Linked DNA regions of Oryctolagus cuniculus. The main gene of each other region encodes a partner of the protein of the gene in region 2 in a complex. Links are inferred from orthologs where the notes say so. Each region holds a gene or a part of one and is shown on either strand. Other genes may lie near its edges.

Region 1 (5,764 bases), on a different chromosome or scaffold from region 2:
CCTGGTCCTGCCCCTGAAGCAAAGGCCTGGGATGCTCCCGGGCCAAGGTTCAAAGGTCACCACCAGCATCTTGGTGTCAAGACCGGCACAAGGAAGCTATGTCCCAACTCAGACCTCTGGCCGGCCCTCCAGCCCAAAGCCAGAGCCTCGACAGGCTCCAGGATGAGGTGGTAGGAGGCTGATGGCGCTAGGGAGGAGAGGGCCTGAGGCTGCAGTGCCCCTTAGTGGTCCAGACACGGAGTAGGGGGAGACCAGCGGGACAAGAGTGGTCCCCACCCCCGGGGTGCCAATGCCACCCTGGGGTGCGACCCCACTGTTCCCGGAGCAGGAGAGGAGGGAAGGCCTTCGGGGGAGGGGGCTCCCTCAGCTCCAGCCGATGCCGGCACGCGACCTGCCCACTAGGACGCTCTTCCTGGAGCTGAGGGGCACGGAAGTCCCTGGGCGACATCTTCCTGACTGGGTGGGCGAGGTTGGCAAGGCCCGAGCCGGGCGGAGCCGGGGGCGACTGGCAGGAACGGTGCCCACAGTGCCCACAGAGCAGGTCAGGGTGCCTGAGGCTGCCAGAGCAGAGAGACGAGGCCCAGGCACAGCAGGAGCCGCTGTGGCCTCCCAGCGGCACACCCCATTTCACGCTCCCTGGGCGGTGGCAGGGCCCCACGGCTATCAGCTTTCAGGGGTGGGAGGGACCAGGAATGAGGAGGGGTCTGCCCCACCCATGACTCCCACTCCTTCAGGCCTTTGTGGGCTCGGGAGGTGGACGCCACATGTCTCTGAGAACAGCCCGGGAGCCCCTCGTCGAGGCCCCGGGGTCTGGGCGCCACCTCTCCAGGGAATGCTCAGTGCCCCACTGGACTCCGCTCCAGGCCCCCGCTGCCCTCCCCGGATGTGCCCGGGAGGGAGGTGGGCAGTGACAGCGGGACACAGGGCAGGGCCCCCTAGCCCTGCACTGCTTCCCTCTGAGGAAGATGAAGGGAGAACCGGCAGGAGGCGGCCCCGGAAGACAGGCTAGTCCTCTGCTTCCCCTCTGGGAAGCACTCTCCTCCTGGGTCTCTGTGTGTACCGGGGCCCAGCCCGCTTCCTGACCCGGAGCACCGGGCCCGCGCACTGGGAAAGAGGCCAGCAGAGGCCCCCAGCAGGCGCCAACCCTCACAGCCCTGGAGGGAAGGACCGGATGGGCGCCCCGGCTCGAGGGTGATCAGGGCCGGGCTGTCTCTGTGCTGGTTCCCAGCCTCCCACTGGCCAGCACTTTGCCTGCTGCCAGGAAATTGGTGAGGGGGAGGCGGGAGTAGGGGTGAGTCAGCAGTGACAGGAGCCCAGGGGACAAAGGTCACGGGTGGGGGATTGAGAGCCACTGTGTACCAGAGCCTACCTCCTCCAGGAGGCCTCCTGACACCAACTGCACTGTGGACCCACCCCACGCCTGTCCTCCGTCTTCCAACGGCACCCCCTCTGCCCTGGGGACCTGGGGCGCAGGGAGGGGCTGTGGTCCAACAGGGGTCCCCGCAATGCCAGTCTATCGGCAGGGATAATAATTTATCCATACTGCCTACTTTCAAAAACCCTTGCCATCTGCTTAAACGGAGTTGCTGTGGGGATGGTTAGAGCGGTCCCTGCAACACAGCGCACGCTGCGCTGTGAGCGTTTTCTGCTCCCAGGCACGATGCTGCAAGACGGTGCAGGTCTGGCTGGGAAGAACTGGGGACCCAGAGGCCCCGTGAGAGACCCCAGCTCTGGCCTCAGGCTACCCAGGGGACCTTCCTGACCACTAGGGTGAGCAGAGGCAGGCTTCGGACCCCAGGAGAGCCGACAGGGCCACGCGCGGCCTCCACCAGCAGTGTGGGCAGTGTCTGGGCACAGGCTGTGAGAAAGGAGCTGTCAGAGCCCAAGGCCCCCACCAGCGCTCCTGGGGCGGGTGGGAGCAGGGCAGGGGGCTGGATTAGCCCAAACTCTCTTCGGACCTCCAGACCTGCCCCCACAACGCTCGGGTCCAAGGCCCCGGAGAGGAAGGTTCCAGATGGGCTCTGGGGAGTTACAAACCCGACACGGGGATTAGTGAGGCTGAAAAGAACATTTGCCTAGGAAGGCAAAACGGGAAGTGAGAGGCCCAGGATAACGCTCCGTGCGTCCCCGGGGACCCACGGAGACCAATGGGGGGCGGGAGGAGGTGGTGAAGTCTGGGGCATCTTGACAGGTCCCCACCCCTCCCGAACCCCTCCTCCCCCAGAGCACAGCTGCAGCAGCTGCCCCGCCCCTCGCCCTGCGCCGCGCGCCATTGGCTGGGGCCCGGGCCCCGCCCCACAGCGGCGGCCTGCCATTGGCTTCGGTCTTTGCTATTTGCGTGTTTGTGGGGGCGGGGGGCAGGCGTCATCCCCTGGAACCAGGCGACTTCCTCTCGGGCTTGTCTGGGTCATCTCGTCTGCCCGTCGCTGGCCCCATCTCGCTCTCTGGCCACGACTCTCTCGCGCTCTCCCCTAGCAGCTGTCTCTCTCGCGCCCGCTGGCCTGTCTCTTCGTCCCCGCGGTCACCTTCTCCGCCTGCCTGGGTGGCCACCATGGGCCGGAAGCAGCTCATCACTGACTCCTACCCTGTTGTGAAGCGGGGGGAGGGGCCTGCCGGGCACTGCAAGGGGGAGCTGGCACGAGAGCTAGGTCTCTGAAGCGCGGGGGAGGTCGGAGGAGTGGACAGCAGGGGCCGGAGAGGACGTGGGCGGGGGCAGATGGAAGGGGAAGCGTAGCACGTCCTCTCCTTCCGGCTGACAGGGCTGGCCGCCGGGTGGCAGAGGCAGAGAGCCGCTGAGGAGGGCTGCGGGCACCCGCCTGAGGAGCAGTGTCATTGCAGGGGAGGAGCCCCGGCCCCCCGGCGGGGAGGAAGCCGTGCTGGAGCTGCTGCGGCAGTTTGACCTGGCCTGGCAGTACGGGCCCTGCACAGGTGAGCGCCGCCCTGTCTCCCCGCCTGCCTCGCCTGCCTCTCGGGCGCCTGCGCCCGGCCCTGGGGTCTCAGGACGCGGCGCCTCGGCGCGCATTATCTGGGTGTGCCGGACTCTTCCTGCGCCCCATGAGGCCCGGGTCTCCTGCCTGCCCCTCAGGGATCACCCGTCTGCAGCGCTGGCACCGGGCAGAGCAGATGGGCTTGGAGCCGCCACCAGAGGTGCTCCAGCTGCTGAAGGCCCACCCAGGAGACCCCCGCTTCCAGTACAGGTCAGAGACAGGCTCGGGGCTTTTGGGTACCACCCGATGGGGAGGCTGCCCTGACCGAGGGGGCGTGGATGCAGGTTTGGGGGTTATGTTTTAATAATTCTCTCTCTGAGCTACTGGGGGAAGGGGTGACCCCAGGCCCCCCGGTTCTGTCTGCAGTACTGAGGGTCTGCCCGCATCAGACCGAGGGGCCTCACTGACTGTCTCTCTCTCTCTCTGGCAAATCCCCCGTCTACACAGCCTCTGGCACTTCTACCCCCTCTGAGGCATCAGCTGAGCCCTGCTGCCGCTGGCACTCCCGCCAGCCGCCCGAGAGCCTCAGGACAGAGCCATCGCCACCTGCACCTGCTGCTGCGTAGCTCAGCTCCACTGTGGAGGAGCGCTTGGAGGGCTCCGGTCCTCCATCCAGCCCCCACCCCACCCCCAGGGCGAGCTCCTGCAGGAAGTGCTGTCCGCAGGACGAGGACCTGGCCAGGGCCCTTCCAATGCCTTCCTCAACCAGGCAGAGCCGGACGCAGGCTGGCGACCTCGGAGGCCGGAGTGCACACCCGACCTCAGGCTGGGGAGCGGAGGGCAGGACTGGCTGAGTTCTCAGGGCAAGGGGTTCATGCACACTTATCAATAAAGAACACTGGAATCCTGACCTCCATTCCTTTAACGTGGCCCGGCCTTGGCTGGCAGGCCCCAGCAAGCTCCGAGGTGGGAGACAGCCAGCACCAGGCCTCACCTTTCCTCCCGCTTGAGCGGGAGGGGAGACACCCAGACAGAACCACGGAGCCCGCACTCTGCGCTCTCTGGCGCCCTCTGGTGGTGCACGAGAACTACTCTAGTCATCATCGGGGACCAGCCAGGGAAAACCTGCCTGCGCTACTGCCACCCAGCCAGCCCCATGTTGCCGGAGGAGGGTCCGGGGGCCAGACGGACCTACACGTTCCCACCAAGCACCTCTGCTTCCCTCACCAGGGTCGACCAGGAGCCACCGCAAGGCTGGGGAGGTCTTACCTTGCAGGACCTGCTCAGACATGGCCACCTGGGGCTCTGGAAGGGAACCCACAGTGCTGGGGACAGAGGGAGCTGGCTGGGGACGGGGTAACGCGGAGGAGACCCGGGTCAGGGTGTGACGTGGAGGGTGCAGTGGCTCCCCTCTCTGGCAGTCCTGTCCCAGCCCCGCAGGGACTCCTAGACACAGGCCAGGACAGGCCTCCGGGGCTTAGTGCCACCTTCCTGAGCACTGCCCGCGTTGCAGGGACTTCAAGTGCACAGTGTTCAGAGAGGTCAAGTGAAGATCCCCAAAGCACCCAGCAGGAAGGTGGCCAGGCAGGCCATGACCTTGCCCCGTGCCGGGCACCAAAGGTCTTGGGTGTTTATGAACAGTGGGGAGGTGGACAAGGCGGAGCACAGAGGTGCTGTCCCAGAGAGCCGGGGCAGAGGGCCCGCGGCAGCACTGGACAGAAGCCTGGAAGGAGTAGGGGCACCAGGTTGCACCCACAGCAGTGTTCCAGACGAAGGGACGGCAAACAGGAAAGCCCCGTGGCAGAAGCATGCCCCATGTGTTCCAGGAACAGGTGGAGGCGAGTGTAGCCAGGGAGGGCAGTGCCGAGTGAGGCCAGGCAGCGGGCAGGCCGGTGCCACAGGGCCTTGGGGCCATGGCAGGAAATCTGGGTTTTATTCTGGGAGGGGAAGGCGTCGGAGGGCTCGAGGCCAGTCAGTGACATCATGACACTGATGTTTTGGAAGCATTCCTCTGGCTGCTGGTCGAGAGCAGGTTGTGGAGCTGGGAGAAGACAGGTGGCGGCCGCACTCGGGAGGCTGCTGGAGTCGGCCTGGTGACGGTGACGGTGACCTGGGCCAGGGTGCGGGAGGGGCAGAGCCGCGAAGAAGCGCCAGGTCCTCTCCCTTCCGGAGGGAGAATGGACAGGACCTTCTGGCCAGCTGGCTGTGGGACTGAAGAGAGAGGAGCCAAGGACGGCCGCACAGTCCCGCCGGGCTCCCCTCACCGAGACAGACAGGACCGGGGAAGGGCGGGGGGCTGGGGCGGGAGGCGAGGGCTGTTATAGGCAGTTGTTGACACATTCCAGGGGACGGGTGTAGGCGGCTGTGAGAGTCTAGAACTCAGAGATCTAGATTTGAGCTGACAAAGCCAGGGATCTCTCCTAGGGCATTTGGAGCCATGCGAGTGGACAGGACTACCCGAGAGTAGACAGGGATTAGACGTGGTTCAAGGCCAGCCCTGTGGCCTCCCACACTCAAGAGGTCAGGGTGAAAGGGACTGAGGAGAGCCAGAAGAATGAGGGGAGCTGGGGGGGACCCGAGGGGCCCGGGAGAAGGTGGGAAGGGCTCAGAGGCCCCAGAGAAGGTGGCAAACTGGAGCCGAGAGCAGCCCGCTGGGCTGTCCATGATGGGGCCACTGGGGACCTTGACAAGGGGCTGCAGGCCAGGAGGCTGCTGGGGTGGACACAAGGAACTGCCCCAAGGCTCCCAGGGACGCTGTGGGGTAGAGGTGGCAGAGGAGAGGTCCCGGGGACGCTGTGGGGTGGAGGTGGGGGTGGCAGAGTAGGGGTCCTGGGGAC
Region 2 (6,616 bases):
CCGCGCCCCACGTGGGAGACCCGGGTGGGGTCTGGCTCCTGACTTTGGCTGGCCCAGCCCCAGCTGTCGCAGACATCTGAGTGACCCAGATGGAAGACTCCCTCTCTCTCCCCTGTCGCCCTGCCTTTCAGATGAAATACATTTTAAAGGGGGTAAAAAAGGAATAAAATATTTCCCCAACTCTCTGTTTGTTCCCCAAATGCCCTCTCCCACTCCACCCCCCGCAGAGCCCGCACGGCAAACAGGACAGAAACTGCTATCCGTGAGCGTGCGCGTTGTCACGGGCCCACGGAGACACCTGCGGACGCTCCTGCGGCAGCTCAGGCGGAGCTGCGCCCCCGCCATGGCTGTGCGGGGGACCCCGGCCCGAGTCCCGCAGAGCGCGTGCGCCTGCGCAGTGGGGAGGGCGCCGTCGGCTGAGGGAGGTGGGTGACCCGGGCCCCTTGGCAACCTCTGCATGGTTACGGGGGCGGGGACGGGCTCCTGCAGTGCCTGCGGGTGGCACAGCAGGGACCCCGGCGCTGCGGAGCAGGTGCGGCAGGCGCCAGGCACGAGGGGCCCGGCCCACTGCACAGCGCGGCCGCTGCCCGGTGAGGCTGCCCGGTGAGGCTGACCGAGGCGGGGTCCCAGTGAGCTTTCTGCGTGCCGGAAGTGTAGCTCAGAGCCACGGGGCGGCGCTGCAGCGGCGCAGAGGATGAAACCGATGCCTGGGGCGCCAGCATCCCATGGAACGCTGGTTCGAGTCCCGGCTGCTCCAACTCCCCGCTAAAACAGCCGGGGAAGGCAGCAGCAGATGGCCCAAGTGGTCGGATCTGGCCACCCACGTGGGAGGCCCGGATGCAGCTCCAGGCTCCTGGCTTCAGTCTGGCCCGGCGCTGGCCACTGTGGACATTTGAGTGAAGCAGCAGATGGACGATCTCTCTCCAAAAATAAAGCGCAAAACCCTGGGCGCAGAGGCCGCGGCTCCGCACGCAGGCCTGCTGCCGCCCTCACCTGTGAAAACCTGCTTTGCAGAGGCCACTTCCGGAGGCTGGAAGTCGCAAAGGCTGGAAACCACCTAACTGTCCTTCTCCGGGACTTAACCAGCCAGCGCGGCCCGTGGAGGCCCACGGCTGGACCCGGGACCCAGGAGGGCGGCCAGGGCAGCTGTTCTGCAGGCCGAGCCCGGCGCACGGGGGCGCGCTCCGAGCGCACCTTGGCGGGAGAAGCCCCGAGGGAGGCGCTCGCCGGGCGCCAGCGGCTCAGGCAAGCCCAGCGCGGAGCTGGCACCCGGGCCTGGGGCGGGAACCCCGCGTGGGACTGGACACCACAGCGGGGGACCCCGGGCGGCCGCCTGGCCTGGCGGAGGTGACTGAGCTGGACCTCAGGCCTCGGCCCGAGATGCCTCTGGGGGTCTATGGGAGAACCACGACTACTACTAAATTTACTTGAAAGGAGGGGAGATCTTCCACCCGCTGGCCCGTCCCCAGATGCCTGCACAGGAAAGCTGTGGATGAGTCGGGGGAGACGGGCGCGCGCGCCCCATCCGAGTCTCTCTCGGGGGTGGCAGGGCCCAAGCACGTGAGCCGCGGGCTGCTGCAGCTGGTCAGCTCGGGCTCGACCCCCGGCTCTCTGCCGCGGGGTGCAGGCGTCCCAGGGGGGCTTACCCTGCTGAGCCGCCACACCCACCCCGTGGCCAAGGCTTTGAAACGGCGCAGCCAAACCGGGGAAGAGAGCGAGCGCGCATGCGCGCACCACGCCGGCCTCGGGCAGAACCCGGCAAAGGGAACGCGGCTGCTCCCGGCGCGCTGTGGGAGTCCTCTGTGGGGCTTTATTTTTATTTCAGAGAGGCTCCCTGCCGGCTGGTCGCTCCCCAGACGCCCGCAGGATTCGATCCCGGTGCCCCGCGTGGGACCTCCCCAGCACGCTGCCTCCCGGGGTCCCTGAGAGCAGGAAGCCGGAGCCCGGCACCCTGGCAGGGGCACGTCGCCCCCTCCGTGGGTTCAAACCGCGCACAGTGGCAGTGGGGCAGGCTCCGCGGACGTCTGATGGGAGACCAGTCGCACGGGACGGCAGCTGCGTCTGCAACGGTTTTACCGAGGTGGAATTCTTAGTACACAGCCCACCCACCCGCTTAGGGCACTGGGCCGCGGCCTGAAGTCCCCAGGGTGGTGCAGCCAGGACCACACCAACGCGAGGGCACTTCCACCCCCACCCACCACCAACCCGAGAAGCTGCGACCTATCTCTACGGTCCGCGGAGCGTGGCCCGCGGGGAAAGGGGCACACCCAGCCCCCTCCGGCTTCTTCCACTCCACGTGTTCAAGTACAACCACCCAGCTGCAGGTCCGGGCTTCCTGTCCCCCTGCAGACACACAGGACCCCCTGCACGGACACCTGGGACCCCCCTCCATGGACACACATGGCTGCCCCTGCACACACACCCGGGACCCCCCCCCCACCCCGCCTGGACACACACGGCTGCCCCTGCAGGGGCACCTGGGACCCCCCCCCCTCGCCTGGACATACATGGCTTCCCCTGCACGGACACCCAAGACCCCCCTGCCTAGACACACAGCTCCCCCTGCCCAGACACCCAGAACACCCGCCCCCCGCCTGGACACAGGGCCTCCCCTACACGGACACAGCTCCACAACCCGTGAAGGGCTCCCACTGTTTCCACGCTGTGTGTCCCCCTGCTGGCCGCCACGAACACGTGCACACCGGGTCCGTGTGAAGGGTGCTTCTACCCGACGGTGTCCGGCGAGAACCAGCGCAGGCCAGGAGAAGGCTGGGGTCCGGCTTCCCACCAGCCGCAGGGGAGCAGGCAGGGAGGGAGTCCCGCCCGGGGTTGGGCAGGGGAAGCCGAGGGGCTCTGCGGGGGGAGGGGGGCTGCCAGATCTGTGGGACGCAGAGGCAGGAAGGAGGTGTGGGGGCCCAGTGGAGGCAGCTGGGAGAGGCCGCGGGTCCCCTGTCTGCGCGGGCCCAGGACCGGGCTTTGCGGGCGCTGGGCTCCCCCCACAACTCTGACGACACAGCAGGGCAGGGGCAGGGTCCCAGGGCCCAAGGCCAGCTGCGTGCTGACAACTCCAAAGCCCGGCTCCCCATCGCCCCAGAATCTCCTCCGCACACCCCACCCCGCTCTCTCCCCCACTTCGGCAAACTGCGGTTCCAACAACTCCTGGGGTCACCCCAACTTCTCCTCCCCTCGGGACAAACGCTCGCTCCGCCTGGGAATCCCAGACCCAAGGCCAGGGGCTCCCACTCAGCCCCTCTGCCCACCCCCTGCCCATCCAGGCTCTGCCTTCACCGCGGTGCCCCCAAGCCTGCCTCCCTCTCAGCCTCCCCCATCCATTCTGCAAACCCAGGGGCCAGGGGTCACCCCCACGGCCGGCCTGGCTGAGCCCACCTGCCATCGCCCACCCTGTCCGCTGCCCCCCACGCCAGGCCCAAGCCACCCGCCATGCCTCCACCCGCTACACCCCCGATCTCCCCGGGGCAGCCAGCGAGCCTTGCAGAGGCCCCCCGCCCACGGCTCCTGGGTGGACCCCGACCTAAACCCGAACCCCACCCCTAGCCTTTCAGCCCGCAGCTACAAACACGCGGGGCCGTGGCAGGGGAGGCGCTGTGCCCGGATCCAAGCCGACCTCGACCCTCCAAGGCCGCTGCCCCAGGGAGGGCGAACCGGCGCCGCGGCTCCCGCTCCTAGCACGGCGCCCGGCCCGCGACGCCCCTCACACACTCAGGGAGCGGAGAGGGCGACCCCAGGCTCCCCGGGGCGCCGCACAGCCCCGGGGGCCTCCCGCCCCGCGCCCGGCGCGTGCGTCCGCGGAGACCCCCGGCCCCAGCCCCTCTCCCGCGCGCCCCCGCCCGCGCGCCCTCCGCGGGTCCCTCTCCTCAGGCCCGTGTTCCAGGCTACTCGAGTCCCCGTCCCGAGTGCCCCCGATTCCCGGTCTCCAGTACTCACAGCCTTCAAACACGGTTTCCCGCCACAGCCTACGCCGCCGTGACCCCTGACTCCGGCGCGCGCAAGCCCAGAGACAGCGCGCGCCGTGCTGGCCACGCCCCTACCCACGTGCGGGCGAGGCCACGCCCCTCCTCTCCGATAGGGAAGCGGCCTCGCTCCTTGGATCTCCAACTCCCGCCCCGCCGTGACGTAGCGGAGCAAAGACACGCCCCCGAGGGCCCGCTCGCTCCGCCGCTTGCTTTCTGCGCACGCGCGCAGCGTGCCTCGCCCCATCCCACTCGGTCCCGCCTCCCGCCCTCGGGCGCTGCGCGCACTCCATCCGCTTCCCGGCCCGCGGCCACGTCGGGAGGTCGAGCCGGGCGCTGCCCGCTGGTGGGCGGGCGGGGTGACGCCCAGCTGCCTCGCGCGCGCTGGCGGAGGCGAGACGAGTGCCGACCGGTTTGCCCAGTGGTACACTAGTGTCGGAGTAGGCTGCTTGGAATAGGGGGATCGCTGTAACCATCCCGCGCCCCAAGTAATACAACTTCCAGCATCCGGCACATCACCCCAGGCCGCCCGCGAGCGTCCGGCGTCCCCGCGGGGCCGGCACGCGGGCCGTCCGCGCTCTTCCAGCCCGTGTGCGCTCGCTCGGCTCAGGCCCAGCCCCCGGTCCTGGTCCCCCGGAAGGCGTGGCCGAAGCCGCTATGTGCTGCCCCCGCGGCGTCTGTCCGTCCACTGTCCAGTTCGGCCCAGAGGAGCGAACTCCACGTGCCTCAGCGGTGGTTCCGGGGCCCCAAGTCGTTTGACATCTGGGACGGCTGGCGCAGCGCCCACCAAAGGCCTCCCGGTGCGTGCTGGCCACGCAAGGGTTCCCTCACCAACTCCTGGGCCTCCCGCCAGAGCCAGCCCTGCAGCCCCGCAGCCCCGCAGCCCGGGGTCCGCCCTGGTCCTGCCCGCCGGAGCCCCGCAGCCCGGGGCCCGCCCTGGTCCTGCCCGCCGGAGCCCCGCAGCCCGGGGCCCGCCCTGGTCCTGCCCGCTGGAGCCCCGCAGCCCGGGGTCAGCCCTGGTCCTGCCCGCTGGAGCCCCGCGGCCCTGCAGCCCCTCAGCCCACCCCTGTCGGCGTCTCACACGCGGGCGCGGGGCTGGCTTGTATCTACTTTCCCTGTGTTTGCTGATTTTAGTTTTTATTAAATAAAAGGCTCAGAGGAGGAGGGGCCGTGGCGTCAGGCTGCGGGGGGGCCTCGGGCCCGCCCCCTCTGTTCAAGGTGCACTGCGCAGTGGTGGTGAGGGGTAAGCGGGCGGGGAGGGCGGCTGGCAGGGCCAGAGCTGGAGGCCTGAGCCCCGCCCCCTCCTGGAAGACTCGCTGGGGCTGGTCCAGGGCTGCAGGGGCCTGGGCCTTGCTCCAGGCCGCCAGGTAGGCCCAGGGGCCCAGCCCGGGCCCCTCCCACCCAGAGGAGGGAGGCGGGGGCGGCGGGGCGCGGCTGCGGGGCGGGGTGCGCCGGCGTCACTCGTCACTCGTGCACATCCCAGATCTCGGACAGCAGGGGCGGCAGCTTCTTGTCCTGGAGTCGCAGGGCGAAGACCTGCTCCGAGTGCACGGAGCTCAGCGTGCGCAGGCTCACCAGCTTCATCAGCATGCGCGGGAAGCGGAGCTGGTCCTGCGGGCGGACAGGGCGGTGGGCGGAGTCAGCGGGCGGAGGCGGAGTCAGCGGGGGGCGGGGGGCAGTGGGCGAGTCAGCGGGGGTGGGCGGGGGGCCGAGTCAGCGGAGGGGGGGGCGGTGAGCAGAGTCAGCTGGGGCGGAGGCGGGGTCAGCAGGGGGCACGGAGGGGCGGTGGGCGGAGTCAGCTGGGGCGGAGGCGGAGTCAGCGGTGGGGGGCGGGGGGGCCGAGTCAGCCGCCCCCCACCCCCACCCCCGCGCCGCAGGCCTCCCGGGGCCCGGCCGTACTTGCGGCCTCTTGATGCGCGTGTAGGAGAGCAGGGCCTCCACGTAGGGCTGCTGCAGCGCCTCCACGCGGCCCGGCTCCTGCACGTTGGGCCGGTCGGCCGAGAAGATGTTGATGGCGATGAGGAGGGCGTACTCGGCGTCGTCCAGCCCCAGGCGCCGCATGGCCCGCGAGAACTCGAAGATGGGGTTGATGAACTCCACCTGCAGGCCTGGGGGCGGGCAGACCGCAGCAGTGTCACGCGCCTGTCACTGCTCCCCGTGTCCCGGCTCGCGGAACGTTTCCTGGGAACACTCCGCTCTGTCGCCAGCACCCTGCCTTCCTGCGTGGACACCAGGGCAGAGGGACACGCGTGGGAGCTGGGTCACATGGCATCACCCCGGGGGTCCACTGCACCCCGCAGGCCGGGAGGGAGCCATCCATCCGTGTCCCTGAGTCCCCGGGGCCTCGGCCGGGGGTAGGGTCCAGGCGACAGACACGCCGGGCAGAGCCGCGGCCTGCCAGAACACACGGACGGGTGACTGGGACAGCCGAGAGGCCCGTGGCCACGCCGGCAGGTGACCGGGACCTGAGGGCCCGGCCAGGCAGCAGGCTGCGGTGTTCGGCCTGCCAGAGGCCCCGAGGAAGGAGCCGCGGACAGCTCCCACAGTGGGCGGAGGGGAGCTGGCGTGGGTGTGGCTGCTGGGCAGACTCATCGGGAGGGGGGAGGGGCTTCCTGAGTGGTCCAAGGGGGAGGACGGACGCCTGA
Region 3 (6,488 bases), on a different chromosome or scaffold from region 2:
TGCGTGCCACGGTCTCACCTCCTCGCTGATCTCGCGCAGGATGGAGGGCTGCAGGGGCATGGCCTTGAAGAGAGTGCCCACCACGCAGCACTGCTCTCCGGACTGCAGCTCACACAGCTTCTTCACCTCGGTGCCACTGCCTGGGGGGCGGGGGCACAGACTCAGACGCGGGCACGCCAGCGAAGGGGGCCAGCCCCGGGGACGCCGGGTGTCCTCGTGAGAGGCAGAGGAGAGGCCGCATGAGTAAGGCCCAGGCCCTAGCAGCGCCGCGAGCGGGGAGGGAGGCGTCCGTTCCCAGCAGCCACGGAGCCACTCAGTGTTACTCCGCCCTACCCCAGCTGGGACGCCATCCTGAGAAAGAGACACCGATGTTACAACTGTCCTGTGGAGTCAGGATTCTCCTGCCAAACGCTTCTTCCTCTGGAGAGGTCCCCCAGGTTCAGACCCCAGTCCCGTTCCCGTGGAGTCAGGCAGCCCTGCTCACCCAGTGAGCCCACGAGGGCACTGGCTGGCTCAGGAGGAAGGCGGGGAGTGAGGGCGGGCAGAGGAAGGCCCGCAAGTCCCCAAGGCCCGTGGATCTCTTGGAACAGACCCCGCACAGCCCAGTCCTCTCGCCAAGAACATTCCTGAGCTACAGCCTGGGGAGCAGAGGGAGGTAACTCAAACAAGGGCGAGGTGGGCCCCACAGAATGCCACACACCCATGCAAACAGATCCCAGATCCCCAGGCAGCCCCGTCTAAGCACTGTACACGCAACTCGGCCAACCCTGACCCTGTGCCAGCAGCAGACAGCGCTCAGAGAGGTCAGGGAACATGTCCAGGGTCACACAGCTGGACTCAAGCTGTGCCCGAGCACCAGCCAGAAGGACACGGGCGGGCCACACACACATACACACACACCCCGTTATGTGCGAGTGCCAACACTGAGGATGGATGAAACTGGCCGGCCCTTGGCCTCTCTGAGCCCTGTGTGGGAGGCGGAGAGACATTAGCTGATGCACCAATGACTAATCAGCAACTGACCACTGTGAGAAGTGCAAGGCTGAGCAGAAAACACGGGGAGGCCCCAGAGAGTCACGGTGACGGTGATAGAAGGACAGGAAACCGAGGTGAGGAGACAAGACTCCGGGGAGGGCATGGGCCAGGGCAGGCTGACCCTGGAGAGGGCGCAGGCCAGGGCAGACCAACCCCAGGGCAGGCCAGGGGCAGACAGACGCCAGAGAGGGCGCAGGCCAGGGGCAGACAGACCCCCGGGAGGGCACAGGCCAGGGGCAGACAGACCCCAAGGAGGGTACAGGCCAGGGGCAGACAGACCCCCGGGAGGGCACAGGCCAAAGGGAGACCAACCCTGGAGAGGGTGCAGGCCAGGGGCAGACTGACCCCAGGGAGGGCAAAGGCCAGGGAGGGCACGGGCCAGGGGCAGAGTGACCCCGGGGAGGGCACAGGCCAGGGCAGACTGACCCCTGAGAGGGTGCAGGCCAGGGGCAGACAGACCCCAAGGAAGGCACAGGCCAGGGCAGACTGACCCCTGAAAGAGGGCGCGGGCCAGGGCAGACTGACCCCAGGGAGGGCACAGGCCAGGGCAGACCGACCCCAGAGAGGGGGCGGACCAGGGCAGACTGACCCCAGGGAGGGCACAGGCCAGGGCAGACCGACCCCAGAGAGGGGGCGGACCAGGGCAGACTGACCCCAGGGAGGGCACAGGCCAGGGCAGACCGACCCCAGAGAGGGGGCGGGCCAGGGCAGACTGACCCCAGGGAGGGCACAGGCCAGGGCAGACCGACCCCAGAGAGGGCGCGGGCCAGGGCAGACTGACCCCAGGGAGGGCACAGGCCAGGGCAGACCGACCCCAGAGAGGGGGCGGACCAGGGCAGACTGACCCCAGGGAGGGCACAGGCCAGGGCAGACCGACCCCAGAGAGGGCGTGGGTCAGGGCAGACTGACCCCAGGGAGGGCACAGGCCAGGGCAGACCGACTCCAGGGAGGGCACAGGCCAGGGCAGACCAACCCCGGAGAGGGCACAGGCCAGGGCAGACCGACCACAGAGAGGGCACAGGCCAGGCCAGGGCAGACGGACCCCAGAGAGGGCGCGGGCCAGGGGCAGACTGACCCCGGGGTGGGCCAGGGGGAGATACTGTGTTGGGGGAGACTGACCCCAGGGAGGGCGCGGGCCAGGGGCAGACTGACCCTGGGGCAGGCTGGCCCAAGACCCACCCGGCCTGGGTAAGACACGGTCTCATGATGACCGTCTCGGAGATGCATCAGGAACAGCGGCCGTGTGCCAGTCCCACAGCTGGGGTAACGGGGCACCACCAGAGTCGGGAGTGAGAGGCCGGGTCCTGTCTCACCCCCAGGGCATCGAGGGGTAGGAGAGCCCACCGGGGAAGAGACGGGGACGAGAAAACAGCTTGCACAGCCCGGGTCTTTATTTGGAAAGACAGAATGCTGAGGGTCAGGGGAGTCACGGCCGCTGGGCGGCAGGAAGCAGAAACGGAGGGGCCCCGCCGCCGGTGGCTCCGGTGCCAGGCCAGCCGCGCTCGGGCATGGGCGAACGGTGGAGTGCCCTGCACCTAAACCATTCCCCCCACCGCAACAACGGCTCTCAGTGCTCCACCCTGACCTGGGAGCAGCCTCTGGCCTCCACCTCACACCACAGGTCTTACACCAGTCCTGGTTACGTGAGGACGCCGCGAGGGACGGGCTAGCGTTCCCAGGTAACTCACAAATGGGACCGATCGGGGAAACCTGGAGCCGCGCGCGCCCACACTCACCCCAGCGCTGCCGGGCCCGGCTCACCAGGAAGGGTCTCATCTGGCTGAGGCGCGTGGCGTAAATGTGCGCGTACTGCCGGTTGAAGTTGCGCTCGCCCAGGCGGAAAGGCTGCGACGCGTTGGTGTAGGTGGCCACGGGCACCCGGGCGAAGGTGGCGTTGTTGGCGGACGGAGGGGACAGCAGCGTGTGGGCACGCTGGGCGGCCTGCTCGGAAAACATGGCTGCGTCCCGGCCGAGGAGGGGTCCTGTGGGCACACAAAGGCATCCCTGCCACCCTCGCCCGGTGCCAAACGCGGCTGCCCGCACCGCCTCCGGGGGCCAGACCGGACAGTCCCGGCAGGGAGCAAGGGAGCCTCTCCCACCGGAGTGCGGCTGAACCCCGGACCCGAGTGACCCCTGCCGGCTTCACACCCCCAGGCCGCCTGCCAGGCTCGCGAACGGAATCCCTGACCCGCGCCTCCCCAGCCCCCTGCACCTGCCCCAGCCCAGGGCGCGAGCCCACCCCAGAAGCACGCGCTATTGCTAAATAACCACCATCGCCACGGTGACACACACCGGCCACGGGCCGCGCCGAGCGCCCAGGCCTCACCACGGCCCGTGCCACGCGCTCCCCGCCTCCGGATCCTCTCGCTGCACCTGCGCCCGCGCCCGCGCGCGCTCGCCCCGGTCCGCGCTCGCGGGCACCTCCCGCTGCCCACCCCGAACCACACCTCGGCCCTCTGGCTCGGCACGCACCTCCCAGCAACCCGCACGGACACCTGGCGCCCGCGGAGCGCCACAGGCCGACTCCCCGGAGCGAGCAGCGCCTCTGGACACCGGCTACTCACCGCCTGGGCGCGGCTCCGCGACGGGTCAGGGCCCCGCGGCCCGCTGGACAGCGCGGGGCCGGGACGCGGGCTTTCCAGGAGCGACCCCCGAGCACCCGCGGCCGGCCCCCGAGAGCAGCGCTGCGCGGCAGCGGCGGGACGTCCCCGACTCTCGAGCTCGCACCCGCGGCCCGCCAAGACACCGCTTCACCGGAAAACCCTCACCAAGCGGCGCGCCGCATCCCGCCGACCCCCGCGCGCCCGCCCCGCCCATCGCCGTAGCCAGCCAATCGCCGCCAGCCCCGCCCCATTCATTGCCTCACTCCGCCAATCGCCATCCAGCGCTCCCCGTCCGCGGCCGCATCTCACCAATCGGTCTCCGCCCGGGTCGGCCCCACAGCGCCCGCTGCATCCCGCCGGCCCCCGCGCTTCTCACTCACCGCGCCGCGCGGAGCCACGCCCCCGGTTTCCCAGGCGACGGGAGGCGGGGCCGGGACGGACAGGCCCATGCTCGTCCGTGCGCATGCGCGTGCCCGGAACCCAGGAGGCTGGGTCCGCGCGGGTGGCCTGCACCGTGCAGGGTGGGCACTGCCCGGGTTCCCCGCAGGCTGGTCCTGCTGGCCAAGCGCTTGATTTCCGGCTGTCTCTGCAGAACGGTGACCTGAGCCCAAGTGAGGGTAACGTGGACCTGGAAGAGGGCGGTTGCTCTGTAGGGCGGGCAGCGAGTTGGGCGAGAGGCGTGGCGGGTCCTTGCCTTCCCGCTCCTCCCGCCAGGCCCGGCCCCAGACACGGTGGACTCTTGTCGTGTCCTTGTGGTGGCTGACTTAGGTGCCAGCCTGGCTCGCTTAAGGAGTGCGCAGAGGCCTTGCGTTGCGGGGGTCTGTGAGGGTGTTTGCAGAGGGGCTGTCTTGCGATGCCCAGTGGACGGCCAGGCGGGGCAGGCCGAGAGGAAATAAACACGAGACGGGTTGATCTCTCTCCTTCTACCCCAGCAGGCCCGAGACACGCGCTGGGCGTCGGAACTGCAGCCGCGCTGACCCTGGGCTCCAGCACGGTCCGCGCTCCCCTGGCCGTCAGCCGTGGGCTAAGAGTGACGCCGTTACCTTCCGGGCTCGGAGGCCTTCAGACTGGGAGCCACGCTGCCGGCGCCCCACGTTGCAGTGGACCTGTGCCACGTGAGCCACGCCGCCCGCCGCTGACCGCTCTCCTGTCAGATACCTTATACATTTCCCGCGGGGTCTTGCTCGCTCGCGCTCTCTCTCTCTCTCTCTCTCCCCGGAACTGCAGCACCGACTTGGGTCTCAGGAGTGGTTCCGAATTCTAAGATGGGTTTCCTTCATTGGCTTTGGGGCTTCTGGAATTGGCTGTGTAATATGGTTAGACCTAAAGACGCAAAGGATTCTCCTTCCGACGGTGCGGACAGCACCTGCAATCCGTGGCGGGAGCTATTCTTAGAGATGTGCAGGATAAACGCGGTGGACTCTCCCGAGTCACCGCTCGAGGGAGGCCAGGAACTCGGTGACTCCGTCCATGGGACCTTCCAGCTCCTGTGGGGAACCAGGGAGCACAGGGACGCTGGCTGGCTGCTCCTGTCCTCGCTGGACAGGGTGGTGAGAGACAGAGACGAACTCAGGGACGAGGTTTACCGGCTGCAGCTCCGCGTCAACGACCTCAGGGTTTCCAAGAGCGTCCTGGGCCAGAGTCTCCTCTCCTGTAGCCACAGGGCGGAGGTGGCGGAGAACCAAGCCCAAGCCCTCATCGTGCGGCTGGCGGAATTGCAGCGGAAGCTGAACTCGCGGCCTCGCAGGGTGTCTGCCGTGAAAGTCAGAGCGCTGGTCGGCAAAGAGTGGGATCCCGTACGCTGGGACGGCGACGTGTGGGAGGAGCTGGACGAAGCTGCGGACGCCGAGCCCCTAAATGCCGAGGAGGCTTGCTTGCCAGTGGAACTGGGCCTCCCGCCCCCCAGCGTGGTCCCCGCATCCCCACTCGCGGCTTCCCCCGCCCCGGCGGCGGCGGCGGAGGGCGTCAGTTCTGCGTCGCCCGAGGAAGTGGGCATGGCTTCTCCTGGAGCAGCCGCCAGGCAGAGCCAGGCTGAGGCGCCTCAGGACCCCGCCGCGTCACCCCTCTTGTCCTGCAGACAGGTAGCTGGCCCCGGTTCTCGGCAGGCCCCTGAGGCCGTGAGAAGCCGTGAGAAGGCGCGCTACAGCCCGAAGGAACTGCTGGAGTTTTCCGCTTTGTACAAGCAGAAGACTGAAGAGCAAGTGTGGGAGTGGATACTCAGGGTGTGGGATAACGGGGGGAAGAACTTAAAGTTGGTCCGGGCTGAATTCATCGACCTGGGCTCCCTGAGCCGGGATCCCGCCTTCAACCTGGCCGCTCAGGGAGTTAAGAAAGGCGCTAACAGCTTATTCGGTTGGTTGGCCGAGACGTGGGTTAAAAGATGGCCCAGCGTGCGCGAGCTGGAGATGCCAGACCTCCCGTGGTTTACCCTGGAGGAGGGCATTCGCAGGCTCAGGGAGATCGGCATGGTGGAGTGGCTGTGTCACCTGAGATCCACCCCCCTGCCCTGGGAGGGCCCCGAAGATGCGCTTTTCACCAGCGCGGTGAGGAACCGATTTGTGAGGGGCGCCCCAGCATCCCTGAAGACCTGTGTGGTCGCCCTCCTCTGCGGGCCGGGCCTTACGGTGGGAACCGCCGTCACTCAATTGGAAAACTTGAACGCGATGGGAATGATATGAGCCCAGGGTGGCGAGGGCCAGCCGGTGGCGCCCGGCCATCGGCAGCTGGCCTGGTGTAGCCGCCGTGATGAAGGGCAGATCGTGGTATTCCAGAGAGGGAAGCGGGTAGGAAGCTGCCAAATTCTTACTCGGCCTGCCTAGGCAGACAAGTCCCAGGTCAACTGAATCACGC

The links.
Region 1: POLD1 (region 2) and POLD4 share a complex: the UniProt entries of both Homo sapiens proteins name them as parts of the tetrameric DNA polymerase delta complex. The link is inferred for Oryctolagus cuniculus from reciprocal best matches to the Homo sapiens genes POLD1 and POLD4.
Region 3: POLD1 (region 2) and POLD2 share a complex: the UniProt entries of both Homo sapiens proteins name them as parts of the tetrameric DNA polymerase delta complex. The link is inferred for Oryctolagus cuniculus from reciprocal best matches to the Homo sapiens genes POLD1 and POLD2.

What each region holds. Positions count from the first base shown.
Region 1 is NC_091432.1:4,679,015-4,684,778, forward strand, and holds POLD4 (DNA polymerase delta subunit 4), read left to right. Parts: upstream 1-2,334; 5' UTR 2,335-2,551; coding exon 2,552-2,648; intron 2,649-2,838; coding exon 2,839-2,928; intron 2,929-3,085; coding exon 3,086-3,197; intron 3,198-3,434; coding exon 3,435-3,459; 3' UTR 3,460-3,837; downstream 3,838-5,764. UniProt on the Homo sapiens protein: As a component of the tetrameric DNA polymerase delta complex (Pol-delta4), plays a role in high fidelity genome replication and repair.
Region 2 is NC_091449.1:7,467,818-7,474,433, forward strand, and holds the start of POLD1 (DNA polymerase delta catalytic subunit), read right to left. Parts: upstream 4,037-6,616; 5' UTR 3,946-4,036; intron 1-3,945. Other genes in the region: NR1H2 (oxysterols receptor LXR-beta), read right to left, coding at 5,436-5,582, 5,871-6,079. UniProt on the Homo sapiens protein: As the catalytic component of the trimeric (Pol-delta3 complex) and tetrameric DNA polymerase delta complexes (Pol-delta4 complex), plays a crucial role in high fidelity genome replication, including in lagging strand synthesis, and repair.
Region 3 is NC_091447.1:51,600,038-51,606,525, forward strand, and holds the start of POLD2 (DNA polymerase delta subunit 2), read right to left. Parts: upstream 3,834-6,488; 5' UTR 3,508-3,833; intron 3,204-3,507; exon of another isoform or gene 3,135-3,203; intron 3,018-3,134; 5' UTR 2,992-3,017; coding exon 2,772-2,991; intron 141-2,771; coding exon 19-140; intron 1-18. Other genes in the region: Friend virus susceptibility protein 1, read left to right, coding at 4,904-6,316. UniProt on the Homo sapiens protein: Accessory component of both the DNA polymerase delta complex and the DNA polymerase zeta complex.